Linked DNA regions of Styela clava. The protein of the gene in region 3 purifies or fractionates together with the protein of the main gene of each other region. This does not show direct contact. Links are inferred from orthologs where the notes say so. Each region holds a gene or a part of one and is shown on either strand. Other genes may lie near its edges.

The links.
Region 1: the proteins of co-chaperone protein daf-41-like (region 3) and peptidyl-prolyl cis-trans isomerase FKBP4-like purify together in Homo sapiens (affinity purification with mass spectrometry; 3 studies listed by BioGRID and IntAct, with this or other methods). This does not show direct contact. The link is inferred for Styela clava from reciprocal best matches to the Homo sapiens genes PTGES3 and FKBP4.
Region 2: the proteins of co-chaperone protein daf-41-like (region 3) and protein AAR2 homolog purify together in Homo sapiens (affinity purification with mass spectrometry; 3 studies listed by BioGRID and IntAct, with this or other methods). This does not show direct contact. The link is inferred for Styela clava from reciprocal best matches to the Homo sapiens genes PTGES3 and AAR2.

What each region holds. Positions count from the first base shown.
Region 1 is NC_135261.1:9,013,676-9,022,215, reverse strand, and holds the start of peptidyl-prolyl cis-trans isomerase FKBP4-like, read right to left. Parts: upstream 3,354-8,540; 5' UTR 3,194-3,353; coding exon 3,122-3,193; intron 2,495-3,121; coding exon 2,350-2,494; intron 2,062-2,349; coding exon 1,898-2,061; intron 1,127-1,897; coding exon 958-1,126; intron 321-957; coding exon 58-320; intron 1-57. Other genes in the region: LIM/homeobox protein Lhx1-like, read left to right, coding at 5,833-6,029, 6,734-6,933, 7,851-8,096. UniProt on the Homo sapiens protein: Immunophilin protein with PPIase and co-chaperone activities. Component of steroid receptors heterocomplexes through interaction with heat-shock protein 90 (HSP90).
Region 2 is NC_135254.1:12,006,825-12,014,932, forward strand, and holds protein AAR2 homolog, read right to left. Parts: upstream 3,241-8,108; 5' UTR 3,176-3,240; coding exon 2,075-3,175; 3' UTR 1,580-2,074; downstream 1-1,579. Other genes in the region: malonyl-CoA-acyl carrier protein transacylase, mitochondrial-like, read right to left, coding at 332-1,483. UniProt on the Homo sapiens protein: Component of the U5 snRNP complex that is required for spliceosome assembly and for pre-mRNA splicing.
Region 3 is NC_135259.1:4,438,371-4,446,962, forward strand, and holds the start of co-chaperone protein daf-41-like, read left to right. Parts: upstream 1-4,890; 5' UTR 4,891-5,048; coding exon 5,049-5,068; intron 5,069-5,612; coding exon 5,613-5,796; intron 5,797-6,712; coding exon 6,713-6,811; intron 6,812-7,483; coding exon 7,484-7,636; intron 7,637-7,888; coding exon 7,889-7,988; intron 7,989-8,592. UniProt on the Homo sapiens protein: Cytosolic prostaglandin synthase that catalyzes the oxidoreduction of prostaglandin endoperoxide H2 (PGH2) to prostaglandin E2 (PGE2).

The DNA.
Region 1 (8,540 bases), on a different chromosome or scaffold from region 3:
ACCTATCGTTAAGATTTGGTAGTGAAGACGAACAATACATTAACGAAAATCGCAAACCTTGAAAAAAGTTGTTCCTTTTGCTTTTATAATTTCTCCTTGTTCCACTTTCTCTTCATCACTCATTTCCCACGATTCCTTTGCCTTTTCAAAGTTTTTCAAATGAATTTCATAATTGACATCGGTATCCTTTGGCACACCTAAACCCTCATGTCCCTCGCTTCCGAAAGCATGCTTCGAATTTACTCGAAACAGTGAAGTCTCGTCTTTTTTCATTTTCTTTATGGAATCTTCAACAGGTTTCGGAATATTCTCACATTCATCTGTTACAAAATACAGTTTTTAATTTGAAAATGTTGAAATTGGTTTGAGTTATATCGATCACCGAGCCCAAGTCCAAAGCTCTTCTATTATAAAAAAAAGTCCGAGCTAAATAATGTTATGAGGTTGCTATAGAGTGGCGCACACTGCAAATATATATAAGATATAACTTCACATATCCTATGGCTCACAAAAAATTGTATAGGGGTTAGCACATTGCTTATTTGACTTCATCATGTTAGTGAATATTTACTGGGGTTACCACGACATCGCAGTACTCAATACTGTCAAAACAAGCCATACTTATTTTTCTTTAAAAAAAATTTTTGTCACTAACCTATATAAAAGCAAAAATTTGGCAGTTCCAAGTGGGTAGGGATTAAAAAATTTGGACAACACTGTATAAGATAAAAGATCTTGGGACCCTATACCTGCAACATCACATCGAGGGTAATAATTTTGTGAGTAATATCTAAACAGGCAGCATCTCTTTGCTCTACTTGTCTATACAATTGTTCAGATTGAATAGGTGCAAACACACCATCAACAAGGTCAACTTTCAACTCTATGACAATTCCAACAATCTAATCTTGTCTTTGATCAGTCAATAGATTAAAATTCAGTGTTGCGTGTCTGTACCTTCATTGATATTGAATTTCAATGACCTCTCATCAAAAACTGTATCTCCATATGATCCCTTGATGTCAATTGATACATTAGCTCCATCGTTGGGAGTTTCGTACAATTTGCCTTCTTTCAAAACTTGTCTTGTTATACTTTTGTCACTATCGGGAGAAACATCTTCAAACTATAACAGAATGAAAGTCAATAAACTGTTGTTCCAATTTATTCTATTATAATTATTGCTAAGCGTTACAAATACGCTCGCCACAGCCCCTCTGATTAACCTATGTTGGTTCACAGGTTCGAATCCCCTGGGGACAACTATGTGCAAAAAGAATGCTGGACTCCTCGCTGCCATAGGGTGGTTCACATAACCACTGGTCGGTTGCAGCTCCCTCCACTATCAAGTCCATGCATCTGAAACTAATACCCAGCTAATCATATACCTGCCATGGACTGGTAACCGTACAACAAGAGGTTGTGGTTCACCATATGATTGAGCAGTCTTATTCTCTCTCCTCTCTCCTGAGATAAACATGTAAATTCTATCTATTGTACACACAAATTTGACTAGTGATAATTCTATTCAAATTGTTGGATTTTTTATTTCACTATTACTTGAAAAAATAGTATTTTAATTGATTGATAATTATACTACAAAAAATCTACTAAAATACTATAATTCCATTTATCACAATTCTCAAGAACCCTGTTTTGAATATTACAAACTAAAATTTTAATTGGTATACTGGGAAAAGGATTCAATCACACAGACTTCAAGTTTTGTAATAATGACATGTAGTGTTTTATCATTCCTTCATATGTTTAATAGCTCTAGGCATCTTAGGGTCACCAAAAACTTTGCTCAGGAATGAGCATCCTCCACTTTTGAGTAATTATGTATGATTGTGTCTTGATCAAATTATTTGAAAAACTTCAAATCCTATATACCTACCTCCCAATCAAATAACTCAATTTCAAATACAAGAGTAGCATTAGCTGGAATGGTAGGTGGGCTTCCTTTCTCTCCATATGCAAACTCTGGCTTGCAAGTCAGTTTACATTTCTCTCCTCTTTTCATGGAAGCAACACCGAGATCCCAAGCTTTAATAACTTGACCTAAAAAATAGAATCGTAAAGTAGTAAAAGGTGTTTTCTGCAAAAAATTTTTAACCGATATGTTCGCTTTTTCACAAATTACCAAAAAAGTCGTTTTGAAAATTAGAAAATCAGATTAGAAAACATGACAAAAAGATGAATACAATAATCATAACTTCGTGAAAAAAGCAGTGAAGTGTAAAATACAATCACACAGTAAATACTATGGGAGATGAAAATATTCTCGGTTTGTTGAATCCTCATGGTGATGTGCTGTGAATATTTTCAGATTTTCAAAGTTAACCATACCTTTGCCCAAATTGAAAGAGAATTTTTCTCCGCGATCAACAGAAGAATCAAATTTAGTTCCATCGAGTAAAGTTCCTGTGTAGTGAACGAAAACGTTACAACCTTCCGATGGAGATTCATCACATGTTCCGGGAGTGATTATTTCCTACAAAAATAAAGACTTTTTCATCGACCTGAGCGCTTCACTATTTATCAGTTTATGGCAGAGAGGGACTCAATTTTTAATTTCTACTAAAAGTCAGCTAAGCAAGTATAATAAAAATGGAAAATAGCGCTCCACAGAATATTAGAATTTGCTTGGGAACTAAGGAACCCAATTTCTAATTTAAATGACTGAATAATGCACCGGTTATCAAACAGGTGACATTTTCAGGTGAGCCACACGCCTATTAAAAGTGCTATAATCATTGAAAAATTCAGTTTCATTTATGTCACTATGGTTAAATTTTATTGTAGTAGCGATGAATGATGATGCTGGTTTTCATTCTAATTATTAAGAAAAAATATTATTTTGAAAAACAAGTTTTTTTTTCTTCTAATCTTTACCTTGGATCAAAAAGTTAATGGGCCACCGAAATTTTAGACAACAAAAATGGGCCACGCAATCTGGCCAAAATCCTAAACCAGTAACAAAACATCTAAATTCCCCGCAATTTTCACGTCACCGCGATTGTGTAATTACACTGAAAATTGTCGCACCAATAATAATTATTCTTACTGTCTTATATTAAAATCAATGAAATCACAACAAAAAATTTCAAATTTCACCAACCTTCAATACTCCTCCATTCTGCACCAAAGTCAAATCTATTGGTGCATTGGTTGCACTTTCTTCATTTGCCATTCTGAGTTGCAAAAAAATTATCGAACGAAAAAAGAATAGGAAAGTCTGAAAATGAAAAACCAACTAGTCTAGAGCTAATCAGTTGGTAGAGTAAAAACCACGGTATCGGTGACAGAAGAAATGCAGAACTGTCGAAGTACGACTTAGAAAATTCTAGAGCTGGGGGCTGGCCTAGCACAAAAACATGCGAGGAGTTGAATGATGCCAGGGTTTTAATTTATTCAACGTCTATATTCTGGTGCAGTCACGTATAGTAGATGTATTTATTTCTATCAAAAGCCAATTATTGACATAATTTTACGCATAAATAAATCAAATATTATAATTTTGAAATCTATGCTAATTATGATTTTTTAGGAACAGATTACTGCGATAAATCTGGCAACGTCTAATTTTCAAATCGCCGTAATTCCAGCCCGGTTTGTTAGTCGTTGTTCCAACCCCACGAAATTCTTTTTAATGTGGTTGTCCCGCAGATCTTTCTGACCCTAAAATTTTTTTATTTTTAATTCAACTTTTACCAATAATTTTATGAGTATTTTACAGGTTAGCGTATGGCTGCAATCAAAATATACGGTGGTGTAATATATACGATAATACATGAATTGAAACCTCTTCAAACCGTAAATATATGTTCAAACAACTGCCGTATTGTATGTATGCAAATAAACATACATATATACAATACGGAGGTTGTTTGGAAATTTTTTTAACATGACCATTCTTAGCCGGAGGTGCATGGACACAAAAGAATTGCAGAAACATTTCGAGTTGCATGAGCTCTGTATGCATATAATGAAAATAAAGTACTGTAGTAAGATTTAGCCACCCGCCACCGTGGTCTAACCTGCAAAAGACCAGGCTCACGGGTTAAGAAAAATCTTGCGCATCTGAACGTATTTGTTTACTCAACCCAAAGAACTCCAATGTCAATTCATTAAGGCATAAGATGCCTCGAGAATTTTCCCTTCATGTTCTATGTTCTACGTAAGTGATAAGATACGTTCCCAAGAAGCGCATCCAAAATTTTCATAAAAAGAATCGTGCCATGTTGGTATGCGTTTGACTTCACAAAGACATTCTCATAGTATCCAGTTATTAAACTATACCAAAATCACTGAGATCACACAACCGCTGACTTCGCATACGGAAGTAGCACCAAGATATTTTCTTATTTTAACGTAGCCTACGTTCTTGGTATTCACTTTAAAATCGATTACTTCTCCTAGGCTGTTAACAAATAAAAGAAATTTTGAGCCCCATAAAGTTTATATTTTGCGGGACAATAATCAAATTTTGTACTGGTAGCTGCAAATGCATCAATATACTTGAATGCCTATGCTATTTCTTTCCGGGAGTGGAAAATCATGTTTGATAATCTATAAGCACATGAGATGCAAGTATAGATATTCGAGTTTATACGCTATTTTGTTTCGTTAGAATAAGCTAATGTACTGATGGTAATAACAAAATTATCTATGTTCGATTTTGATGCAATTAGTATACAAATTGATTCAAATTTTCTCGCATTCTGCAAATCGACAGCACCACGTTCTATTGATGAAATTGAGACGTGTTAGGGTCAAACTTTGGCCTAATATCGACATTACGATCGAGCAATCGCCAAGTCTGTCTATATATTAGGATTATCCAGATATTCTATATATACTATAGAGACCATTTTTGTAAATCAAACCTTGGTTACGTTAATCCTCTTGTAATCCTGTCTAATTCTCTTCATAACACAAAACACGAGCCATCATTGACCGGCGTACGCATCAGAAAATCAATGTGGAGGAGCCAATGCTCGATTCTCACAGAGATTTTGAAAGTTTTGAGTGACGTTTAAATTTGTATTATACATGTCGATTATTGCTTGACATTTGATGTTACATTCGACTTAGATTCTTGTTAATGAAGAACCTCAAATAACTAAAAGAGAACTAGGGAAGTTAACCAGCGAAGCATCATATTTGCTACAAAATTAACTCAAGTTGTTCTTTTGTTTCAGAACCATACGCTGACCTGACGACAAAATAGAAACTGATTGTGTAAACACAAAAACTCCCGTTTTTATGCCTATTGACTACGTGATTTTTTTTATGATTTTATGATTACTGAATAATGGTAAGCTTAAAAATGTTGAGGAATTGAATTGTTGTTTATTCAAATTTATTCAAAAGTTTTTTTGAAGTTTTAATTCTTTACTTAAACTTCGAATCTTTGTGTAATCGATAAATAAATAGCCTGCAATAACCATAACGGATTTGTTATTTCACGGAGGGAGAGAGGGAGAAATACACAACGACCGTGAGCGAAGAAGGGAGGGCTTAAAAATTGAACACGCGATCAAGCTTCATCAAGCATGGAATTCATCCAATTTGCACAAAATGATGCAGATTTTCTACGACTTATGTTCGGTCAAATGTGATCGGAGGATTTTAAAAACAGCGAAGTGGGTGCGAATTTACGGTTCTTTTTGGCACGCGTGACTCTGACTTTGAGAAAAAAAGGTCACGAAAAAGGCGATTTTTATTTCAAGTCAGATGTTACCGTGAATAAAAATCAGATCAGTCGTCAATCAGTAGCATCGTCTCTGCAATTCAAGAACATAGCCTTCTGGTTCACTGGCATCAGATATGAATAACTCGGATTCTTCTTCTGTACCGTCCCCATGTCACGCTTGTGGTTGCCACATCTTAGATAGATTCATATTCCGGGTGGATGGATTTTTGTGGCATGCTAAATGTGTCCGATGTCACGATTGTGATGAACTGCTTGACGAGAAATGTTATTCGAAAAACGACTTATTATATTGCAGAAAAGATTATTTTAGGTGAGTTGTTTTAAAATTACCTCTATTATAAGTTATTTTATTTAAGTATTGCATATTCAAGAAATAAATTTAAGTTGAAGAAAACCAGGCTAATTCTATTTTTATATAGATGTTACTAAGTTATATATATATACTGCAAAGCAGTTATAATTACAAGATGATTAGGGCATTTTTTACAAAGCTCCAGCCATAATTCATCCTGCTTGATCTGTATTTGATTACGTCTCAACATTTTATTCTAAAAAAGAGCGTAATATAATATTTTTGCACTTTGATTCGACTACAAACTTTCTGTAAATCGTTTCTATATCATAACGATCATTAAGCTGTTATTAATATTCAAACTGTGAGTTCAAGGGAGTAGCGTAATACGAACTGATAATTTATATTCAAATGGGAAATTATCAATATATTTATGCATATAACTCTTATTTGTAGATAAATTCACAATTAAGAATAAATTTCAAAATTATTTACCTCACTTTTCTAAACCACTAGACAGACTTTCGTGACAAACAAGACATTAGGACTAGCTATAGTTTAACATTACTGTTTGTTATAATTTAGTATTTTCCAATGGATCTGAATGCGTGCGATACGTGATGACAAATTAGCTGTGTTTTGGAATTTCGACTACTACCACTAACTATAAGTAGACAACTAATCTGTACAACTACAAATTTATTTCCTTCTATTTTCTACAGACGTTTTGGACCTGAGTGCCGTGGTTGTAATGATAAATTAATGGCGGATCAAATCGTAAGAAGAGTACACGATCTTATATTTCACGAAACTTGTCTTCGGTGCAATATCTGTTCGAGAAAAATTATGACGGGAGATAGAGTTTACAAAACGTACGATTCAAATATTTTATGCGAGAAAGATTATCAACTGCAAAATTTAGGTAATTCAAATATCTTAATACTTTCCTCATTTTAAAACATTCAAAAAAACTACCATTTTGTCACTGATATTTCTTGACGTCATCAGATAGTTTGAATTACCAGTGATCACCCAAACCTTCAGACCTACTTGTTTCGTTTCTGAATAGAGTATACCATGCTAATTTCTAAACCATGTCATGTATAGGGCGTAGTCTTCAGTATTTTTAGATAAAAACCATTCTGGTTGGTTGTTGCTAACACTAATCTGGTAACTAAATGATATTGAAAAATGAAGTACCATTAATATTATATTTTAGTGTTGTTGTTCTTTGAATAAATATATTTCATTTTATTTGCTGAATTTATTTTTGTATTTTATTCGAATGTGACCAAGTTGAATCATAAGGTTGCGCGTTTTCTAATGATAGAATAAAATTTTACGATAACAATTTATTGCTCGATCTGATGTTTTCCAGACATTACTGAATATTCAAGCATACATTTATGTTTCAAAGAACTGTATAATATTAATAAATATAATATTTCTTTTCTTACAATAATCAACTGTAGTTTTATAAACGACACTTCCAAAGCATATAACGTTATGCATATTTGGGCTTTGGTTATGTAATATTATATCCTCTAAAAAAAGAAAAGTATTCCCGTAATGTACTCCGGTATCGTGTGTACCAGGTTAGGGTTGGGCAATGATTTTGTTCCGATTTTCCTTATTTTAGTTCTATTACGAGTTCGGGGACTCGCTTTGTTAGCCAAGTGAATATACACCCTGTCCAATGTCCATAGGATTCAGTCCCTTTACACAATTTGATGTAAAGAACTCGAACAAAATTGGGTTGCCTCCATATTGGTAACACACTTCTGGAGCGCCGATGTTGATGTTTAAATATATAAACGTTTTATAATATTACTTATACAGGTACACAATCAAAGCAGAACGATCACGAATCATCTTTCTCGTCAGAAGTGTCTGATTTAAATAATTCGTCTAACTCATCTCAGTTTTTTGAAAATACACCTGGAGTTGCACCTGAAAACGGCATTCCCGGGCTTGATTTCGAACAACCTGAAGATAAAGTGAACAACGCAAATGAATCAAATCTTTTACAAAATGAGAACAAAAACGGACCACCGTGCAACGAAGAAAATTTTATAAAGTCATCAGGTAACTTGGCCACGATAATTTGATAACAAAAAAGGGTACTCCCGAAGTATGCGCACCAAGATGTCCACAACCTGAACCCTAACCTAGTACACAACATGAGTTCAGGTTGTGCACCATCTTGGTGCGCATACTTCAGGAGGTCCCAAAAAGTATCTTTGTACGAAAAGTATTTTTGTACGAAAATACATTTTAAAGCCATAAGACATCGTTTTCTTTGCCTTGTTCATCAATATTTATTCTAATGGCGTTAAAACATTATGTAAACAGGATTTAATTTCAAAACAACTTCTCTCATCCTATTTTTAAGCATTTTTAGCAATAATTTGATATACAGTATTGCGAATTGGTATAAGAAGAGCAATTGGTGATTGCAGTGTAATCGAAGTTTCCAAATTTTTCAAGAGTTGGAAAAGAATGTTGAAAATAATAATTAAATAGGAGGTT
Region 2 (8,108 bases), on a different chromosome or scaffold from region 3:
TCTGAACTCACAATAGTTTGTCTGAATCAAACTTAAAGATTTATAGCTTTGATAGGAAATGACAGAATTCTGTAAAAAATGATGACAAGTAGGAAGAATACCAGTATATATTTATTCATTCATTACAGTAGGCAGTAAGCAGAGACATGCTGCACAATGCCCATTTTTCTGGTGAAAATAAGATACTTCGATCATTTCGATGTAGTCCCAGTTCGCTACTTCCACCGATATATGAATTAGTCAAACATCAGGCTATTTCAGATATGCCATGCTTCAATGAATAACATCAGATTCATCCAGATGCTGAATTCACTAACATCATGACATAAAATCAACCATTTTCATTATCAGCAGTCCTGTTATCTCTATTGTCAACAGGTAAATAATTCTTCCATGCTTTACCATTGCAGTGTTTCAATAATACCCCAAGCTGGTGGTTCGGACCCAATTCATAAGTGTGAGGTGCTTTATTTTTATACTGTGCATACATGGCATGAATTGTCTGCTCCCACAAAACTGGTCTTATAATTTGCTCTAGAAGTTTTTCGACAATGTCAGCCGAGTCCTTATATGGTTTGCCATCTATATTGCCATAAACCGTCACCATGGGTTCTTTTACTTCAATAGCTTTCAGTGCATGCTTCATTTTCTTAACTGCAGGTCGCATTAAAGCAGTATGAAATGCTCCAGACACTGGAAGAATCTGAACCCTCCTGATGTGATAATTTTGCTTTTGTGATGATAGATATTCAAGCGCAGCACGGTGACCAGCTACAGTTCTTATATTTGGTGCCAAATAACCAGAAACCCTGCAAAGAACTCTTTCCATGCCTAGCTTTTCATGACAATACTCCACTGCATCAGTACATGCCAAGTTGAACTTAGTTTTTGCACCACCAACCAAAGAAATCATTCCCCCACCAGTGTCATCAGATGCCTTTTGCATCTCAAGTGCTCTGATTTTCACTAAGCTGATGGCATCTTCGAAAGTCAGAGCTCCGGAAAACACGAGGGCGGCATATTCTCCAACACTATATCCTGCCACTGCCATGCAATTTTCTAAAACTTCTGGTGTTTCAGCTTGAAGCTTTTCAACACCCGCAAGTGAGGTAACAACAACAGCAGGTTGGCAGTAGATGGTTTTATCCAACTGATTTTTAGGACCATGGATGCACAGGTCTAATAATTTGAATCCCAAAATTTCCGAAGCAACATCAAACATATCTTTGACATTTGGATATTTCAAAAGATTTTTCACCATTCCAACATACTGACTTCCTTGCCCAGGAAACAAAAGTGTCGAAGTGTTCTCGAGTTTATCAGGAATTTTCTTTGAACCTCCTGTACCTCCAAATAAATCATTTACAAGCTGTTCTTCCATCAACTTATCGTTGTTTAATTCTCCTTCTACAGCCACATTGTAGTTGCGATGGCAGAAAAAAAAACGCCTGGTCCACAATCTTGGTCTCAGAGCAAGACTCATAGTTACTCTAAAAATGTTCCTTTACTTACATTTTGAATTCAATAAAACATTTTATTTTCTCCACAATTAGTGTAGTAGTCTATATCAATTAGTATATCTAGATGGCAAAAATTGAAGAAAAATAATGTTTTTGCTTGGAAGCTGTTTGTAGGTGAAATATCCAATTATTTTGAATGGAGAATTAAGCATGATATAAGAAAAATGACATGAAACATCACAGACTATTTTAATTTGTAAGTGTGATACAACAGATGCATCACTGAGTTTCAATTTTTAATTGCCGCAATGTCAACGAGGGCAGGAAGAGATGGGGGCATTACAATTTTGTAGCCAGTTTGCTCCTCCATTCCTAGCTTTCCTTACGATGTGGAATCATTCAGTATAAACATATTTACAAATTGTAGCAAATATTTTGTTTAACAATAGTATTTTATTTTATGAAATAGGTTTGTTTTGAATCGACCTGACTCACTATGTAATTTTTGATCCCGATTGAGCTACTTTAAAATCTTAAATTTAAACAAAATTTTATGACCCATTTATATGAAAAAAGTGTAATTTCAGTTGAAATCCATCAACATAATTATATTCTTATATTTCTACAACCACAGGCGCCCAATCATCTGGCTCACTTTTAAAATTCCACTTAAATTTTTTAGTCAAATATTTTTGAAACTGTTTGCCACGTTTTTGTAGACTTGCATCAATTCCCTCAGTTTGCAGATTACTAAAAAGTATAGTTAAAGTTGAAACTAAAAAGTTATTAGAGCTAACAACATCAACAAAAAAATCCTTTGGTATTTCATTGAGTTGATGATAAAATACTGTAAGTAAACTCTCGTACAATTTTTGATGTTCTTTCAGCAAGTCATCACAAGAACATAGGACATTTACAAGGGATTTCCATTGTTCAAAAGCATCAAGCACCTGCCCTAAAACAAAACATACAAATGCAAACTGCAGTTCACCAAGCAAGTCTTCAGGTTGGGAAGAGTTTTTTATTATTTGTCCTAAAATGTATGATGAATCCACACTATGCTTTGAAATTTCATGTGGAGTTGCGTTTGGGGGATACCATTGTTTAGGTATCATTGAAAATTTTATCTCAGTCCCAGGTTTAGGTTTTAGTATAGGCAGTCCATCCTCGTCAACTGCACTTGATCTTGGCACTTTGACACTCTCTTCCGACATCTCTCTCCCACTTGGTGAAACATTGCTTTCTGAAATTAACTCGGGAACAGACTGAATTTTTCCGTTTTCGGGTTGAAGTTTAACCATAACATCATTATTAATCCAGTCTGTCAGAGACACCCATTTTTCTAAGGTGTCATATGGATAAGGCGCCAAATTTTTATCCAAGTTTTTCAGATTTTCTCTGAGTGAATTCATCTCATCAACAGACTTGTGAGAGAATTGGATTTCCTCATTATTAACATCCCAATGGCTAATAAAAATTTCCCTCTGTTTGAAAAAATGGAAGAATCCAGACCTTGGAGATGAATGGCCACCATGTTTTCCATTTGAACTATAAAAAATAAAGTGGAGGCCAGGGGGAATCATTTTAACACCTTTGAATTTGGGTCCGGTAATCCAAGAATTCCAATCCATTCCAAATTCTGTACCTTTCGGCATATCAACAAGAATTAAAAATGCACCTTCTTCAAACAGTTTTTTGGCCAAACCTTGGTCCATGATCAGGAGGTAGCACTATGATAATACTATTAAGTCTGAAAAAAAAATTGTATTTTTGGTTACCTTCAGGCAAATATATATGAACAATAACGATAATATATTTGCATCGGCGGTAAGGCGCATTATGCAGTTGTGTGATAAGGCTATATGTGAGAGGATTGCTGGACTCCTCGGCTATGAAGCGTAGTTCAGTCTGTATACCAGTATAAAAAATATCTAGATGGGAAAACAAAACATCCAGAAATTAAAAATAAACATAAGAAGAGAGTACAAATAGTTCACTATATTACATCATAGTAGAAGATCATTTAAAGTTGGTGTTGCTGCTACAGTTGCTTTAGAGGGTTTTTATATGTTACTGCTGTTGTACATGTTTTTTTAAACCGGAACAGGTTCCCTATGTGACATGCAACATTGTTTATTCGGAATTATGGTAGGTTGAATTTAATGATGACTTGTATTGCATTCAGTGAATCTGTCTTCCTGCTGTTTCTTAGTTCAGTAGTTTGTTTTTTCCAGTTTATTGCACTTAATATTTTTTAACACCAGCATTTAAATGACGTAGTAACATTGCTGGCGTACATTGCTGTTGCCGTGATATTGTTCCACTTTCTGATTCTACTAGATTGAAGTTTTGTAGCTTACTTTTTGCCCTGCCAATAATGTTTTTTGAGATAGCTATTTTTCTGACAGCTCACAGTCAGGGTTGCCATATTGGCTTTTTTAACGCCAAATTTGCCATTTTTCAAACGCGTTTGGCGTCAGAATTTCCGTTTGGTTTTTCGGCGTTTTTCAAGTCATTCTAGTTTCTATTATTAAAATCATATGAAGTAGCCTACAATATTTCAGTATACAATAGCCTATTACTGTATTACACGTACTTAGCTACTTAACATTAGGATTTCCTGGAGCATCGATTTCCTTGTTTGTTACATTATTAATGCATTAACTCTTAACCATACCCAATGAGAAATAATTGCAGTTTCTGCAGCTGCTCAGACATATGTTAAAGCAGGGTTGTAAACATTGCCTTGTTATTATAGTTTTGCGTGTTATTTGTCAGTTTTACGTTCCGTTTCCAAAAAATAGTTGTATAACTTAATTTTATTATGCCTGATATGGTTTATGTAAGCTTTAGTTTATTTCTGCAATTGCAGTAACGATGTGATTAACTTTGCTAAAATTACTGAATTAGATATCATGGGTTCACTCGTGAGCGGCATTTTTTAATAAAATTGATGGTTTATAAATTTTAAAAGTGAACAAATTTTCAATAGTAAAGTACGATATAGGGAGAATTTTTTAAGGTACCGGTATATCACAAGTTTAAGTAGAAACATGTAGGTATATTACATACTGACAGACTGAAGCAGCACCCTGTATTGTATATATTGAATGGTAAAATGATGCTGTCCGCTTGATATTTATTTTACTTTCTACAGTTCTATAGGAACTTTACTTTCTATTTATTTGCCTCACTGAATGAACTGATAGCTCTACATCACCATCACTCCATCAGTATGTTGTCAAGGGCTTAAAATCTGACAAATCATGGGGCTTTTGTACTTAGTAGATATGTTGGCTTTTTCAAATTTTGATTTGGCTTTTTTTGATCGCTGGGGTCTGGCAACCCTGCTCACAGTATGTATGTCGTATGTTGCTGACAGAAAACAAAGACACGCTTTTTAAAACAGTCAAATTTTCAGGCAGTCTCTGTTTCAGCAGTTTATGTGAATTACCAGTATATATTTAAACCTATAAAAGTGATTTTATAAAAGGAAACTTCAGAAGTGGGGCTAATGATCCAAAATAAAGAATTAGTCGCGGTCCGAATCGAATACCCGAAAGGTCCGGATTCGGACCGCGGTCCGCCAGTTGAGTAGCCCTGGTCTATGCCATTTCGACAGCCAAACAAAACGGAAACGTACCGGTACCGGTATAATCCGACTTGCAACTGACAGGAGCCAAATGGACGTTTTTGTTTTTTTGCCGTCCAGTAAACAAAGTCACGTGACCACCGTATTGTTCTGTTGGCTGTACGTATAGTATAATTAGACAACGAAATAGATCTTCAGTTATATTCCACTGTTTCAAAAGATCCGAAACGTCGCGCAATGTGGATATCATCTATTACCGGCAGCAGTACTGCTTGGTGTCAAGTCCAGAAGTCATCTCGCTTGTGTTTCAATGTTTGCGGACAGCACTTCATTGATGGTGAGTGATAATGTGCCGTTATCAATTTCCTCTAATATTCTCCCTCCCTCCCTAAAAAGTTCCCTCATTTCAATGGAAAGCAGATGACAAACTACTGTTATTGGTAGGCGTAGGCCTAGGCTACCGGTACCGGTACCGTACTTGCTGACTTGACTTGTGTAAGAAATCAATCATCAATTGCCATAAGGTATTGTTTCCCTAGTTATAGTTAGCAAGTAATCTATTGCTAAGTGTGAAGGTTGAATAGATAACTAAAGTTTAACACCAGTGGTCATGTAAAAAATAACCAGAATTCAATTGAATTCGCCATCTAGGAATAAGGTACGCTCGCCACCGCATCCCTGATCACCCTGGTAGTTTCACAGGTTCCAATCCCATGCGGGGATAATTATGTGCGAGAGGATTGCAGCTCTACCACCACACACGACCGCTGATCGGTTACGACCATCTAAGTCCATGCTTCTGAAAACAAATAACTGGCTAACTAATCCCAACATAGAATGGTAATCGTACGAGAGACTGTGGTTCGCTATATGATTTAGTTGTTGCACCTGCAATCCTCCCCTCCCAGATAAATCCTATCTTAAAGGTGCTTGTACAACTGACCCAAAATGTCTTTTTATTGTCATTGGTAAAAAAGATATGCTACCCGGATATGCTAATCAAGTTCATTTACGACTAGTGTTTGTGGTGGGATATGGACATAAATTTCACACCACTTGATCGTTAGATTTTATGAAAACTCTACAATTATTACAAAGCTAGTGCAGGATCATAATATCGAATGAATCTGTATCCATTTTCTTACAGATATGGGTGCGACCGTGGAATAGATGGATGGCAAAGTATAAGTTGCAACAAGACCACAGTGGCACAAGACCTCAGCTTGCGTGACTTGATAATACATCCTCAGTATTCCTTTATTGATGCTTATTGTAATGACAAAGTAACTTGTGGTTACTGTGGATTGGTGGAGATAAAGTGTCCATTGTGCTTGAACGAAAGCAACTTCAATACGACCCTATCAAGGAATTTTTTTTTGTTTCGGTGGGTCTGGTAGTGAAGGTTTCAGTCTAATTGGACACCGATACTACAACCAAATACAGTTGCCAATGAAACTTAGCGAGGCGTAATATTGCGACTTTGTGATCTGAAAGAAAATTCTGATGTTAAAGAATATTATGAGATTTGACTTAGAGTGTAAACTTTTATATGAGAGGGGTGTAACCCAAGCTAATTTGCAAATGGTATTCATGGTACCAAATGTATCAAACACTTTACAGTAATTATAAATTATATTTGAAAAATAAAGCACATCAAAAATGTACTTATTATTTGGTTTCTGCGAGACTAACTACTTATCCTTCTTCTATGCTTTTGTGCCGGTGGATCCGTATGCATATATTGCAAGGATGCTGTAGCAAGAGTAGAGATAACAATCCTAAGTGATTCAAGAGTCTTGCTGCACACTAACACAAATATATTTCTGTAACGTTTCGTCTGACCAAGGTCAGACTTCTTCAGACATACATAATTCAACTGAATTATGTATGTCTGAAGAAGTCTGACCTTGGTCAGACGAAACGTTACAGAAATATATTTGTGTTAGTGTGCAGCAAGACTCTTGAATCACTTAGGATCAAAAATGTATTTTTAAAAAACAATTGGTTTTATCTGCAGATACCAGGTTTATATTGAGATTGACCATTTCAATGCTAAATTTTTCTTAGTCAAAAGGCACACTTGATTTGCAAAGATTTGTGAATGCGCACAGTACACCAATTTGTCTAATGTTTTGATTCCATAGGCAGGAGGTTGTGGATCAGTGCTGCTCAGGATGGGATATTTTTGCTTATAAATGCATATTACGTGTTTCACATAAATCCATCGTGCTCAGATTCGACTGTTTTCAAGGTCTGAAGGCTTCAACTGCTTAATTTCATCGGTACACAAGAAAATTTTCAGTGTGGCATGCATGGGCTAGTTGGAGTCACTAACATCAAGATATCTATAAGCAAGGATAAGATAACCTGGAAGTAACATTCCATAATTTAGAGTAAAAAATGTATCTGCCTCCACAGCCCTTTCAAATGGAAGATATGGTGCCTTGGGGGTAATTTCTATCAAATATTTCACAGTGTTAGGGTTTTAGTGAAAATGGGTATAGGCGGCTTTTTTTAAAGTGTGGTAGGTCTATTCGAAAGACACATTAAATGTTTATGCTAACAACTGCAAAGTGATATTGCAACGCATACAAGTTAACAGAATTTGTTGAAATGGTCCTGCCTTTTGCCTTTCTCCTCTTTTTCTAACTATTCTTCTCTGGGGATGGCGAAAATTCAAATATTGATGGCTTTTATAAGCTGCTGATATTGGGTCATTTTTCTTTTATCCTGAAAAGAAATTAAACATCAGATCAGTAATAGAGTACCTGCTAACTAACGAAACAATCAGACAACACCATTCTGGCCATTGATAAAGAGTTCTTTCAATTAAAACGCAAATATGCCTACCAATGTCGGTAGTTTTTAGGATAAGATTTATCTGAGGGGGGGGGGGTTGGGGGGATTGCAAGATGCAACATCGTACGATTACCATTCTATGTCGGGATTAGTTAGCCAGTTAATTGTTTTCAGGAACATGTACTTGATGGTGGGGGATGTCGTAATCGACCAGCGGTCGTGTGAACCACCCTCAGTGGGAGAAGAGCTGCAATCCT
Region 3 (8,592 bases):
AATCCATTCAATTTATTCAACAACATAAATTCTACATTTCTGAAGATTTGAATATCAAAGTCTGTATCGCAGAATATAGATTGAAAACATCAAAACAAAACAAATATATATACAAAATGTCTAGTTCTAGAAAACTATCCAGAGGTTAGCTGTTAGCAAAACATTGCTGTCATGCTCAGCCGCATGTAAGCAGTACAAAAGTTAATATGACTTGTGAAAATGGAGCAGTAATTACAGTACTATCAGCGCAAAATGCACGTTCGACGTTCATTTTAGCACAATGAACGTACACAGTTTCACCGAAAGCACGCGCCAAGAGTGCATCCTTCGCAGAAAATGTTGCGTACCGATAGAGAACTTAAGCCTATTATATCATAGCTATTCCTAGAATATTTTGGATTACTGCAATTACACTAGAACTCCTAAGAAGGCAAAATGATGATTGGCATATTTGATTCATACTTGAAAATCTACGAAGTGGAATGAAGTGCGAGTGGATGCGAAAAGGCTTCTGTAACGTCACTTTTTGCGTCTTGCTGATTGGACAATATTACGAAATAAACAAGGCAGTCGACTCTCGGAGAAACATCTCTTAGAGATAAATTTCGAGCAAAACTTTGCGGGCCAGATGAAAGGACGCCGCGGGCCGGAAGCGGTCCGCGGGCCGTAGTTTGGTGACCCCTGCGTTGCAGCATTGTTGCCAGTAGTTGATGACCGATTTTATTATTAATTTTTATCACTGGAATGTGAGTATTTTATTTTTAATAATTCGTGACTTAGCGGGTCACCAAAAACATGGTAATCCGCAAACCGATCAGTTTTTCGTTATCCCAGGCTATGCCATCTATAATGCCCATGACGTCAGCAATGACGTAATAATGTTTTCTGTGCCTATGTTATATCGACATATGGTAGTGTAATATGTATTAGGCCGTCATAAATGAATTTTTAAATTTTACCGGACCGGGTACCGAACCACAGTCATACATTGCACATGAAAACGTTACTAAATAACATGCGTCAACTTAACACCACCTGAATCGGGGTACAAATTTTGGTACAGTGACTGTCATAGCCGTTTAGGGCTGATGGACAATTCGACTACATGGACAACTCACCAGGTCTATCTGAAGTCGAGTTGTCGTCTGCCTCCCATTTCACATGTCCCGTGACAATGATCTACTCTTCCCCATTCAATTGCAATATGAATTGAAATACTAAGTAATCCGTTTCATTCACTTCTCTCCATTATTGGAACAAAATTTAAAAAACAAGCCCCGCTTTTACCAGACAGCTACGAGTTAGTTCAGTGTCACCGCGCTACCGGAACTGCCCTATCTTTAGAAGATCCTATCTTGTGATAGCGGGAATTGAAATTGCAAGATGGTGCGACTCACAACTGTAGTAACACCAACGATCCGAGTCACTACTGTAATATAACACTATTCGCCATTCTTCAAATCTTAGCAAAGCAAGGATTCCAATACGAACCACCGACGTTTGATTGCACGTGATTAAAAGACATGAAGAGCAGTGCCAGCATATGAGTCCGCAGAACGTTGGGTGACGTCATAGCAAACAAAAACAAATCTCACAGAGCCAACAGAAATATTTGAAATAAATAAAAGTAATAGCCTTCTGGAGAAAAAAATCCTTTTTAACCGCTAAAAATTTCAAAGCAAGTGGTCCAGTAATCAAAGAGAAAAGCGACTTTTTCGATTTTCCACTAGGTGTCCAGAAAGTGTCAAAGAACAAGAACAACAACATAATGTTGAAACGATCCATAGGTTCACTACGTGTGCAATTATCATATTTGTGTTTGCCCAAATAAATTAGTATAGGTATATATATATAACTATCAATAGGATCCCCTTTTTGGACACGTAGTGGACATAACGATCGTTTCAATATTATGTTGTTGTTCTTGTTCTTTGACACGTTTTTAAAAAGTCGCTTTTCTCTTCGAATACTGGACCAATTGCTTTGAAATTTTCAGTGGTTAAAGATTAATTTTTTCGCTAGAAGGCTATTACTTTTATTTATTTCAAAATTTTGCGTGAATTCTATGAAATTTGATATTTCGTCAAAAATTTTGCTGTATTATTTTTTATCCATGGGAACACGGATTTTAGTCAGTGTCATGACTGGCTGAACGTTTTGATTCTGCAAAATTCTTGCTACTGGAAATTTAGAACTTTTTTGAGGGTACCGGTAGCGTCAAAGGTACCGGTAAGGACTGATTCGCTCTGGTCTAACGTTTCCATATATTTGTGCGTAGCTCTCTTGTTCAGCATATTAAGGCATTTTAGGGGAAATAACTTTTCAAAATTCTAAATATTCACATTTCGATTTTTAAAGCTAGAGAGGTGGGGCTCTTCATATCTAGACAAATTCATTTATTCGGCCGTATTTATTTTAGTAACCTTTGGAATGAAAAATATTCAATTTTTGGGGAGTAAAGGCTAATTTATAGCTATCCTAATTTTTTTAGCTATTATTAGGGTTACCATATTTTTTTGACTACAAAGCATAGAGAATTTATCTATTCGCCCAAGCATGCTTTTCTGTAGATAACATCGTCAAAAAGATGTTACAATGTTACATTCACGTGAACGTCCGAACAGGACCAAATAGAATGATTTTACACGTGATACGTTCGCTAACAATATTAGCGGGAAACGACGAAACAAACAAAATAGCTCATTCACCTTCAGTAAGTAGGCTAGTGTTGCGCTACACAGCAACAACAGTAACGAGAACATGTTCGTGTGGCGCGGCGGTGTGGCTCAACGGGCTAAGCGTTAGGAATACGCTCGCCACCGCACCTCTAATTACTCTGCGTGGGTTCGCAGGTTCGAATCTCATGCAGGGATGATTATGTGCGAGAGGATTGCTGGACTCCGCGCCGTCGTTGGGTGGTTCACGTAACCGCTGGTCGGTTACGGCTTCCTCCACCATTAAGTCCATGCTTACAAAAACAAAACAATATAACTAATCCCATGCCCGACTTGGAATGGTAACCGGACGAGAGGCCGTGAATCGCCATATGGATAAGCCGTCTTATCGGCTTTCCTCTCACCCGGGATAAATATGTAAATCCTATTATATCCTAATATGCTGGATGGCTGAACTGATGGCTTTGGGCTGACTTGTCGGGACGGCGGGACAAGACGTTAGAAAGCGGGACTGTCCCGCCTAAAGCAGGACGTGTGGTAAGCCTAGCTATTATACATTTCGCCCAAAGCATTTGGATTTTGGAGAAATGGGGATGAAGACTGTATCAGTAGACTCCCTATTTGGAGCGAAAAAAGAATTGATCACGTAGTACGCTATTTTTATTTTAATTTGCACTATTTTTGTGGAATCTTACAGCCGCTAAACAAGGACAGATAATTGGTTTAATTTCACAAACATATTAATCAATTCAGAGCCACATGGCCTTAAATCAAAACGAAACACTGTGAATAAACAGTTAAAATTGTGGCGCTCAGGAAACGTACATTCGTGTTTTCGTCATGTATACTCTATGGTTATGAAAAATTTAATTTATCATAAGATGTAGTTGGTACTTTGCTTTCCCTGACAACAACAAAAAATAATAAATACCCGAATCCCGCATTGAAATTTCAAAATATAAATCTGCCATTTGGTCGTTGATTAACAAATGGCGTCACGGCGCGCACGTGCTGCTCGCGACGGGTGCTTCACTACCTTGCGACATTTCCCCATTTACAAGGGCTTGCGTCGGCTTATCTCCCTCTTTTCGATGTGTTTTTGACATGCCGGCGTTCTATGAATTTCTGTATTTGAAAGTAAGGACTGAGGCAAGTCTGCAAGTGTACCTAGATTTTGATATGTCATCTTTTTACATAGCCTTATGAACTGAATCCGTAGTTCTGTAGTTAGTTGAAGTTTGACGCTGGTTTACAGGCTTAGGACAGACTGACAGAAGAAACATCTGGAATGTTGGTTGAAAGGGTTGAAAGATAATTATGTACTGTTGCCACTGCTGAACTGTATAAGGCAGTAAGGTCCAGCATACCGGTACGGTACTCAGATAGTCCACCGGTACCGTACCTGGATCATGTCATAAGCTTCATTTGACTGTTTGACATTATCTGGTCTTTTGAGAGTTTGGTGTATTAGACTAATCAAAATTTGTAAATATGCTTCTAATAGTCGGAGATTTCAGTCTGTCTTCAAACTGTCTGTTAACCCAGTAACCCTCCAAATTATACTTTTTGAGTTTTGTTTATTTATAAAACTATTGACAGATTGACCTCAAACTTTGAGGTCTGCTGGTATACCGGTAGTTTAGTACCACATGCACTTCTAGTTGGCCCCGGCTCAACAATTTCTGAATTTTTGCATAGGCTATGTCATTCCTAACCCCCACCTGCCGTCGCCGGTCATCCAAAACGCGTCTGCGCGTAGACCATCACCTGAAATTGAGCAAGCTATTTCTCTTGTGTTCTCGACACAACGACCCTCATATGAGACAGATCGCCGATATTTGTGAGTTTGTTATTGGCGGCGCAGATAGCTAGCAGCTATACTTTGTCGAGCTCTACGATGTGAGTGTGACGTAATTATTGCGACATCTGATGATACCTATGCTGGCTTGAATAAATTTTTGATGCTGATGAATGAGATTTGCCAGTTTCAGAGTTTGTAGAAAGGTGAACAGAATCAGAAAAGGTTAGGTATATAAAATTGGAAACTTGAGGCCTGGGGTTCGATTACCAGTTACAGAATTAGCTTTCCAATCATCTACATTTTAACTAGAACTTACACCTTTTGAAAGTTAGGCGTTTTGAGACCTTGGGTCATTGAAAAGGTTCGTCTGAGAAAATCTGGTGTGAACACGATAACAACAATAAACTTGGGTATTATCTGTGTTTTACAGCATTAATAGTTTACAATTTTCAGTAGGATATCTCTTCACACCTGCTCGAAGCTGAGAACATTCAGAACTCACTTTTGTTGTTATTAATTTTTCGTTTTCAATAAACTTCAGAACTAGACGTTGCATTATATTCAAATACAAAATGTCTTCAGGAGATTCATGGTAAGCTATACTCTGTTAGCTTTTGTTCTATAGCCTGTTTGTTTATCTCTTGCCCCATATTTCCTAGTTTGATCACGATGGTAAATTTGTTCGGTACTCCTGTAGTATGTGAACCAAGATGGCGGACACCGAAATGTAGTATGTTTACCAGGTAATGGTTAGGCCATAATTTCAGGTACAAATACTACGGGAGTCACTTGGCTAGTCCCCGAACTCGTAATAGAACTAAAATAAGGAAAATTGGAATAAAAATATGGCCTAACCTGATACACATACTACGTTCTGGTTTCTTGGTTCACATACCACGGGAATACCATTTGTTCACCACTAACAAAAATGAGTATCAGAATTCAAGCCAATCTTTAACCAGCTTGAATCTTGGTTATCAATGAAATTACAAATAGACATATTTAGTAAATAGTTTGATGTGAATTTCTAATTTTTTAACCAAAATTGTTGGAACAAAGTCTTAAAGCAGGTTGGAAATGTTTTCAAAAATTAACAGAGTCCACAAGTTAATTGTATTATTTTTTTATTTTCATAGTGAATATGTCCCAACAATATGGGCACAGCGAAAAGATTTACTGCTGATATCATTTTGTGTCGAAGATTGTAAAAATCCAGATGTGAAATTCGAAGAAAAGAAAATAATATTTAACGGTCAGGGTGGATCGTTAAACAAAAAATATCATTCACAATTAGAATTATTTAAAGAAATAGATCCTAAGGTTTGTTAATTTTTTCTACGTTTGTGATTTAAAAAAAAATATAATTCATGAATTGAGATGTGATTATATATTCAAATTAAGTTTTATTCCATTACAATTTAACACAGCGACTTTCTCAGTTTCTGTTCAATGTTCATAATATGTCACATACTCACATTCATGAATATTGTCTCTGCTCAAAATTATCAGTTCTAATATGGTTGGGAGATACAGATTGAGATTATACAAATAGTTGTGTGTTTTTTTATGCAACGTATTGATACTTTTACACCTAACAAGACTCTGCATAGGGAACCACTAATAGGTAAGGAGCTGCTTCATCAGTTCTTTCGATTCAGCATTGCCTGAGCAGTTTATTAGATAATCCTGTTGTGTGTGAATCAGGTTAGGGTTAGGCCATGATGTTATCCCGATTTTCCTTATTTTAGTTCTATCACGAGTTCGGGGACGGCCTGTGTTAGCCAAGTGAATATACCCCCCTACCCATAGGTTTCGGTCCCCTTACACAACTTGATGTAAAGTATGCGAACAAAATTATTTACTGTAAATTCATATTGGTACACACACTTCTGGAGCGCCGTTTATTATACCCCGAGTTAGATGGCAGGCATGGGATTTGAATCCGAAGTGCCACCATAATTTAGTCTAACACTTTAACCACTTGGTCACTGTTTGTGCAAATCAATTTGTGTAGAAAGACCTGCAAGGCATATAACAAGGTGTAGTTAACAGGGTTAATTTCCAAAATTTCCAACTAACTTTGTTTTGTTAGAAATATCTACTCCTTCTCACGTGTTAATTAGAGAGTTGAAAATATTGAATCTGACTCAATATCTTATTAACTCAGGCTAATAAAATTTGGAACTTTTTGTGTGAATATTTTTATATGTAAAGTTTGTGTTTAAATTGTGTTTAGCAATGCACAGTGAAGAAAACATCAAGGCTAATATATGTACAAGCACAAAAGAAGGAATCTGGTCCGTTCTGGCCAAGACTGTTAGACGCAAAAATGAAGGTAAATTCTTTAAATTATACAATGAAAGTAATTATCTGCATCGACACAAATGGTTACAATCGACACCTAACAAAATTATGTATGTCTGAAGAAGTCCGACCTTGGTCAGACGAAGCATTATAGAAATATATTTGTGTTAGTGTGCAGCAAGACTCTTGAATCACTTCACATGGACAAACATGGCATTTTATTACTCTCTTTGAATACAACCCGATATATAATTTGAGATATTGCCAATGGTACGCAATGATTTAATTTGGGGTTTACCGAAGTCGATTGACCGGGGGCCAAAACTAGAAGCGGGAGGGTATTTGTGGACCCAGAGAGGGGAGCGCCCGCAAGGGCTGTTACTGTAAGCATATTTGAGATACTGGTATAATTGAATTGTTACTTATATACACATGCTCAAACTTTGATAATGATGTAACAAAGTGTTAAACTATTTCACTCAAGTTCGGCGGGCCATAGTAAATCGTTACTCAGGTCGTTATTGCCCCGTGGGCTGCAGTTTGGGAACCACTTATGACTGATTTAATTAATGTGGGTGAATTTTAAAATGTAATTTATTGAGTTTTTCTAGGCATTTAAACTGCATGGAAAATATACACAACTGTTCCTGGTATTTAATTTGACTATACTACGATATCTAAACAAACTCATTTATGATTTCAGCAACATTGGTTGAAAATTGATTTCAACAAGTGGAAAGATGAAGATGAATCGTCAGATGATGATACAGAAATGGGGGGTATGGGCATGGGTGGGGGCATGGGCATGGGTGGTGGCATGGGCATGGGTGGAGGTCAACAACCTGATCTTTCTCAGGTAAAAATGTTTTTGAAAACTGTTATGTGATACTGTAATGGGTAAAATTAGTGTATGCTTTTGAAAGAATATCTTTGATTATCAAATCAAGTTTTACACACGATTCTTCGATTGCTTATTAAATATTCTTATTAATAATAAACCTTTATTGAGGCTAATTTTGTGTGATTTCAGTGTAGTCAATTTCATTGCAGCTCATTATGTATTCACTACAAATATATTCATTTATTTTTATGACCTCATTATTTATAGATGCTACAACAGATGGGAAGGGGAACTGGAAGCGCTGACTTTGGTGATCTGGATGATGGCGATGATGATGAAGGCAGTGAACCTGATAGTGATGATGAAGGTATTTAATAATATATTAGATTTTTATAGAAAACAGAGCGAGTGTTTATGACTGGACAGCATTTTGTTCCTGAAGCTCTGGCTGCTGTGAATCAAAAAGATTACTGCAGTTTTTTGTTGTAAGCCTTGGATTTCGATGAAAGGGGAGGCATGAAGCCAAATACTCCTGTCCTCACCTATTACACATCATAGCTGTTCCCAAACTATAAGTCGTAATAGGTATAAAAATGGGTCGCAACTTTTTTTTACAGTTTTCAAGTTCTTTATTTCATTATAGACTGAACGTATTTCATTTGGCTTCTTTCTAGGAAGAACTATATCAAGTTAAGATTTGTTGAATCTTTTGTAGAAAGCCCCACCAACGCTCAGAATTACAGTAAATTACAATAATATTTAATGACAGTAAAATATACCAAGCCGCTGCCGACTGGTTTACATTAGGTTCCGATTTTTTGGGCACAGTCAACCTGTACATCACACAAGGTGTATAAAATTCGGTTCGACAAAAACAAGTGCTAGTATACCTAATATAAATTAGATTTCATTTTATTAATGTTCAATGTTAACTATGCTTTTGCTCCTTTGGTGCGGTGAACTCTACCTTT